2 linked regions of the Mus musculus genome follow. The protein of the gene in region 2 interacts with the protein of the main gene of each other region in a pairwise test. Links are inferred from orthologs where the notes say so. Each region holds a gene or a part of one and is shown on either strand. Other genes may lie near its edges.

Region 1 (4,359 bases), on a different chromosome or scaffold from region 2:
CCTTAAGTCTATCATCTTAGTCTACAACCCACAGTATCCTTTGACTTTTAACCATCCTTTCTTTGTAATGGAAGCATAATCACGGTACCACAGCACCTGTGGAATAGAGCAGGACTTCCTAAGCTTCATTAGTAGGTTCTGAGTCTACTCATGTAGGTTCCACACATCAAGGAAATTACCTCCCGCCATATCCTATGTTTGATAACAATTATATCACAAGTCATTATTTGTTCCTAGAAAAAGGAAAGAATCAGATAACAAAAACATATAACCCTAGGCAGGCAGTGGTGCACACACCTTTACTCATAACATTCAGGAATCAGGAGCAGGCAGATCTCTGTGAGTTTGAGGCTAACCTGATCTACAGAGAGTGCCAGAACACTAGAGTGCCAGGGCTACATAGAGAAACTCTGTATTAAAAAACTATAAAACAAAACAATTTAGCCCTACTAAGTGTGTTGGGAGGATTGGTTCTTGGGAGTTTTCTCACACACCTAGTAAAGATTTCAATTCTTGACTCCATTTTGAAGATTTCCAACTTCTACATTCATTATTTTATGTGGATGAGTGTTTTGCCTACGTGTATGTATATGCGTGCCTATGGAGGTCAGATCCATAGAGGGTACAGGATCCCTTGGGACTGGAGTTACAGCTGGCTGTGAGCCACTGCGTGGGTGCTGGGAATTGAAGCCAGGTCCTCTGAAAGAGAACAAGTACTATAAACCAGAGTCAATTCTCCTGGCCAATTTGCAATTTTAAATAAAGTATTTGTGTTTCTGTGTACCAGCGTACACAGGTACCCAGAGAAGCCAGAAGAAAGTGTCAGATCTCCTGGAGCTGGAGTTACAGGTGGTTAGAAGTTGCCCAATAAAGGTGCTGGGAACTGAAATCTGGTCCTGTGCAAGAGCGGCCAGCCCTCCTAACCAAAGAGCATCCAATTCACTGTAATCTTCAAAGGTACTCTTTGTCTTCCTTCAGTGCTATAAAGCTCATGGCTTTCCACTCAGTAGGCAAAGGCTCCACCCAAGTTACATTTCCCAGTCTTTCAGAGGCATTTCTTTCGTGTGTGCAAGTGCCACACATACATGCGTGTGCACACTCCACCACACAAATATCTGCGGAGGGCAGAGGAAACTGGGTGCTTTTTCTGATTACTCTAAATCTTTTGTTTTTTGTTTTAAGAATCCTTACTTCTGAGCTAGGCATTGGAGGCTCATGCCTTTCTTCCCAGCACTTGGGGAGCAGAGGCAGATGGATCTCCGAGTTCGAGGCCTGCCTGCTCTACAGAGTGAGCTCCAGGACAGCCAGGACGACACAGAGAAACCCTATCTTAAAAAAGAAAAAAAAAAAAAAAAAAAAGGAGAAAAAAAATTTTTATTTTTACGTATGTGTACGTGGGATGGTGAGACTGTGTAGGGTTAGGAACCGCTCTTCCACAGGACCCAGGTTCAATTCCCAGCACCCTCACGGTGGCTCACAACCACCTGTAACTCCAGTTCTGTTTTTTTTTTTTTAGATTTGTTTATTTATTTATTTATTTATTATATGTAAGTACACTGTAGCTGTCTTCAGACGCACCAGAAGAGGGCATCAGATCTCATTACGGGTGGTTGTGAGCCACCATGTGGTTGCTGGGATTTGAACTCCGGACCTTCGGAAGAGCAGTCGGGTGCTCTTACCCACTGAGCCATCTCACCAGCCCTCTGGGGGTTCTAATATCCTTTTCCAACCTCCAAGGGCATTATGTACAGACATGGTGCACATACACACATGTAAGCCACTCGTGTAGGTAAAAGTAAGACCGGCTTAGACACACTAGTCTCCACCCCTCAGAGTATTGGTGTTAGACCTAAATCACAACACTGAGGACTCCAAATTCAGATACCCATGTTTGAGTACCAAGCTCTTTACCCACTGGGCCATCTTCCCCGTCCTTCAGAGGCATTTCTTGAAGTGTATTCCTGGCTACGTCTACAAATTACATAGCCTAGGTGGTGAGTCTAACAGACCTGGATGTCTTTCTGTAAATAACCTAAAGTCTGTGAAATCTCATTCTTTTTCGTGGCAAGAGAATAATCTCTTCTCTCGGGGAGGTAGAACGAAAAGCTGGAGGAGAGAATTCGGCCCCGTCTTTGGCAAGCACCATAATGTTGGCTGCCGGGTTAAGGCAGGGTTGAAGTCAGGTACAGGGATAAGCCCCGGCAGTAAGCCAGTCTCCACCCAAAACATGTAAGACTGGAGCCCAAGGTCACATCCCAACCTGGGACAACACGGCGGGCCTCACCTAGAGGACTGGCGCACACTTACCGTGCAGGTAGCATGCGAGGACTGCTCCGAGGCCACACGCAGCCCGTTGTCCAAGATGCTGACCTGGGTCTCCGGCACGCTCTGGAGGGCCTGGGCGAAGGTTGCGGTACCCCGCAAGGCAGGTAACCTCAGCAGGGCCGGCTAAAGGGAGAAGGCGACCATTGCAAGAACTGCTCGCCAAGCCTCTGGGACCTCGGCTCTCAAACCCAAGCCAGAGCAGATAACCATCCCCGCCCTCCGCCATGACCTTCCCACGGCCCTGACCCCCGCGACCTCCCCACTCCGACCCGCCACTGCTGAGACAGCCTGCTCCTCATCTGTGTACGAAAGCCCTGGGCCCTGCAGCCCAACGTCTCACTGCCACCTCACCGAGCGGCGGGTGCGAAGTAGCACTTGCGTCCCGGAGCAGGCCGCTCGGCAGACTGCGGACGCCGCCATCTTCTAACTTCCGTCAGTGTAGAGCCGCGCTGCGCATGCGCAGAGCGGAGTCTGAGGCGCAAGCGCTGTAAGGAAGACTTGGTGCTCAGTCGCCCCCTGTTGGGCAGCAAGTACGTTAGCAAGAATTGATCGCATGTAGTCATTTGGTCCGTGTGCCTCTAGGATCTTCGGGACATTTATCAACCTGCGAGGGAGGGGCCCTTCATCTGGTCCCATCTGAGACAGGTTCTATTCATCACCTTCTTCCACCTGAGGGAGGCGGTATGCAACTGTGGGAGATGCATTGTACGCCAGCAGCAGCTCTGAAACCTGGAGGGCAGTGGCTAGGCACAATTGAGCCCAAGGGCTAAAGCACTTGCCTGTCTGTGCAAGAAGGTGTCCACTAAAGTTAGTTTAAAAGAATAAAATATGCTTAAATGGTTGACTTGAAAGACGTTTAATAATATATTGCCAAATATATAGCACTTGGGAAATGGAGACACAGAAGAATCAGGAGTTCAAGGACATCCTCCTCTCTTGTGTAAGGAGTTCAAAACTACCCTGGGTTGTGTAAGACAGTGTCTCCAAAACGTAAGAAAAAAAACGTGTGTATGAAAAGAGGAACAATGTAGAGGTAATTTGTGGAATAGGGCTCCTTGTTTGGAATAAAATAACTAAGCAAAAAAGTTTTTTCTATTTTGTGATTATTTCAAAACTTTTTGTTTACTTTTTTTCTTAATTTTTTATTATTTAAATGCATTTTATACATCAAACATATTAATAATGTTGAGTACTTTGAGAATCAAATAATCCATAAATTTTTTTCAACTTTTATATTCATATCCTTTCATACCCTAAAATATCATTAATGAATATTTAATACTATCCATAACTGAGGATCCTATATCTAATGTTGAATACTAAATTGTTTCAAAACATGCAAAATATTCTTTGGGAGTTAAGCATAGTAAAAGAGCATAAAATATTAAAAATTAATCATTAAGAAATATATTCATGAGTTCGAGGCCAGCCTGGTCTACAAAGTGAGTTCCAGGACAGCCAGGGCTACACAGAGAAACCCTGTTTCAACAAAACAAAACAATAAAAAATGAGTTACAGGGACAAAGTTTGGAGTAGAGACTAAAGGAATGACCATCCAGAGACTGCCCCACCTGGGGATCCATCCCATAAACAACCACCAAACCCAGACACGATTGCGGATGCCAACAAGAGCTTGCTGGCAGGAGCCTGATAACGCTGTCTCCTGAAAGGCTCTCCCAGTGCTTGACAAATACAGAAGTGGATGCTCACAGCCATCTATTGGATGCGAAGCACAGGGTCCCCAATGAAGGAGCTGGAGAAAGGACCCAAGGAGCTGAAGGGGTTTGCAGCCCCATAGGAGAAACAATTATATGAACTAGCCAGTACTCCCCAGAGCTTCCTGGGACTAAATCACCAATCAAAGAAACCACATGGTGGGACTCATGGCTCTAGCTGCATATATAGCAGAGAATGGCCTAGTCGGACATCAATGGGAGGAGAGGCCCTTGGTCCTGTGACGGTTCTATGCCCCAGTATAGGGGAATGCCAGGGCCAGGAAGCAGGAGTGGGTGGGTTGAGAAGCAGGGGGAGCGG
Region 2 (2,652 bases):
CCACCCTTGGAGGCTTCAATGTTAACCTCTGTTGTTTCTCTCCACAGAGTGCCAAGCAGCTCATCAAGAGGTCAGTGTCCCCAGGAGTGGGTCCCTCGTTCCTAGTCAGTGTCCCCAGGAGTGGGTCCCTCGTCCCTAGTCAGTGTCCCCAGGAGTGGGTCCCTCGTCCCTAGTCAGTGTCCCCAGGAGTGGGTCCCTCGTCCCTAGTCAGTGTCCCCAGGAGTGGGTCCCTCGTCCCTAGTCAGTGTCCCCAGGAGTGGGTCCCACGTCCCTAGTCAGTGTCCCCAGGAGTGGGTCCCACGTCCCTAGTCAGTGTCCCCCAGGGCTTCTGACACCTGCCCAGTAGGACCCTGTGCATCCGTTCTGCAGGGATTGGGGCTCACCTCCCCCCTTCCCAGACCATGTCCCCTACTTTCTTAGACATGCACTCTGCTTGATCCTAAAGAAGAAATGCTCGCTGCCTCTTTACTCCCTCACTTCAGGGATGGATTGTGGGGCTGGGATGGATGGACCCACATAGAGCCAAGGCTAAGCTGTCCCTTCCTGCATGGAGCCCTGAGACCTCACCCTGCCTCTCTCCCCACAGCATTGTAGAAGCCTCCAAGGGCTGCCAGCTGGGGAAGACAGAGCAAGGCTTTGAGAACATGGACTACTTTACTCTGGACTTAGAACACATAGCAGAGGCCTTGAGGGCCATTGACTTTGGGACAGGTAAAGGATGTGATGTTACATGTTTGACCTTTGAAAGGCAGCGTTCCTCTTGAGTTCTGAGGGGAACTGTTAAAAAAGTCAAATTTACACAGCCAGTGTTGACAGGTCTCTCTATGGAGCCCTGACTGTCTTAGTAGTGTCTAAGTAGACCAAGCTGGTCTGGAACACATAGAGATCTATCTGCCCATCTCTGCTTCCTGAGGGATGAGATAAAAGGCATGTGCCCACCATGCCTGGCTCCACAGACAACTTTGTGATGGATCCAGGGTCTGGCACAGTGCCTGGTACATAATTGTTACAAAATAAATTATGTGTGGATCCAAAGCTCATGACATCTGGCATTAGACAGATCTGTCTTCAAATCCAGATTCTGCCATTTGTGTGTTATCCGTGTGACCTTTGGCACTCCCCCAAGCCCCTGCCTTTGTGGTCTCCTGCTTTGGCTGGGTTTTTGGGAGGATCTATTACTGGTACTCCAACCCAGGCCTTGGAGTCTTAGACTTAGCACCTAGGAAGTTTAGGCAGGAAGATGGCGAGCTGGAGGTTAGCCTAGGCTACATAGTCAAAAGGATATTCAAGACAGGTTGTACTGTGTGAACATACATGCTGAAGGCTCACACTACCCACCCCTTAGCCCCAGCAGGGAGACCATGCCAACAGCGATTCTTGAGGCCATTCATGAAGACCAAGCTGGCCTCAAATTCGCAGGAACCTGATGGCCTCTGTCTCCTGAGTGCAGGCAATAAAGGCACGGGCCACTACATTTAGCCCCGAGCCCATTTATTGGTTGGACTTTCCATGCTCTGAGCACTGAGACTCAGATGTCAAGTTGGAAAGATGGAAATTCCATCACTTAATATAGTTTTGGGATGCGGCTCAGTTTATAGCTTAGAAAACTGATTTTTGACAGAGCAATCCCTTGTTCAAAGCCACACGGCTAGTAAGTAGCTGGTGCAGACCTCACCTGGGGGCCCCTTGGCTTACAAGACTCTCTGAGGACACCTGAGACCATGTGAAGACACCATGGGACCTGCCCATAGTGATTCTCTGGGGGAAAACTATTCTGAGCAGTAATTATGGTTTAAATTAAACAGGCTGCCTGCATTGTTGAGATTATGTGTGGGTCCTGCATGTTTAGCTGGAGGTCTTACTTGACAGTTTTGTTGTTTTGCTTTTTTGTTTGTTTCTTGAGACAGGGTGTCACCATGTAGCCCAGGCTGTCCTTGAATTAGTGGCTATTCTCCTACCTTAGTTTCCTGAGTGCTGGGTTTCCACGCTAAAGCCATGGTAGGCATTCTAGTTTGTAGATAGCCTTGAGAAAGGTTGACTCTGCGATTCCTGGAGGCCCGGAAAGGCCTGGGGCAAGGGGCAGGGTCCAGTTAGGAAGGTTTGAAGGTCACACCCCAGGATGAGAAAATGAGAATCCAGGTTGTGGTGGTGGTAGTGGGGGGGTAGGGGTGGTGGTGGGAGGTGGGGGGATGGGATGGGGACATGAGACTGTCCCACTCTCCTGAACAGAAACCCCACCCCCAACCCCTGGCCACCCTAAGACTGCCTCTCTGTGGACCTAGGAATCAGGCAAACAAGGAGATGCTGAGCCAGCAGATTTCAAAGGCCGAGCAAATTCCTTTCAGTTGAGGACTCTGATCCCTAAGAATAGGAAATGTTTGCCCTGCCTCCCCTTTGTGGTGTGTCTGTTCTGCTGAGATGCACAGAACACTAAGTGTGCCTCCTGCCTCCCGGAGGCCACAGTCATGCCAGGGATGAAGTGTGCTAATGTCCTGGAGCAAAAGGACTATGATCTGCAAGGAGGAGGCAGGGGATGTGGAGGCCGGACTCTGTGAGCTTGAATCTTAACAAGCAACTTCCCAGGTCCCTGCTGCCATTGAATGCCCAGTTGGGACCAGAAACGGGGACAGATGTCCCCTCTAGGCCAGTCTT

The links. The genes of interacting proteins can lie anywhere in the genome.
Region 1: the proteins of Trim63 (region 2) and Uqcrc1 interact in a two-hybrid assay, tested with the Homo sapiens proteins (2 studies listed by BioGRID and IntAct). The link is inferred for Mus musculus from reciprocal best matches to the Homo sapiens genes TRIM63 and UQCRC1.

What each region holds. Positions count from the first base shown.
Region 1 is NC_000075.6:108,935,105-108,939,463, reverse strand, and holds the start of Uqcrc1 (cytochrome b-c1 complex subunit 1, mitochondrial precursor), read right to left. Parts: upstream 2,817-4,359; 5' UTR 2,746-2,816; coding exon 2,677-2,745; intron 2,449-2,676; coding exon 2,308-2,448; intron 1-2,307. UniProt on the Homo sapiens protein: Component of the ubiquinol-cytochrome c oxidoreductase, a multisubunit transmembrane complex that is part of the mitochondrial electron transport chain which drives oxidative phosphorylation.
Region 2 is NC_000070.6:134,324,998-134,327,649, forward strand, and holds part of Trim63 (E3 ubiquitin-protein ligase TRIM63), read left to right. Parts: intron 1-47; coding exon 48-70; intron 71-586; coding exon 587-711; coding exon of another isoform or gene 712-764; exon of another isoform or gene 765-1,032; intron 1,033-2,652. UniProt on the Homo sapiens protein: E3 ubiquitin ligase. Mediates the ubiquitination and subsequent proteasomal degradation of CKM, GMEB1 and HIBADH.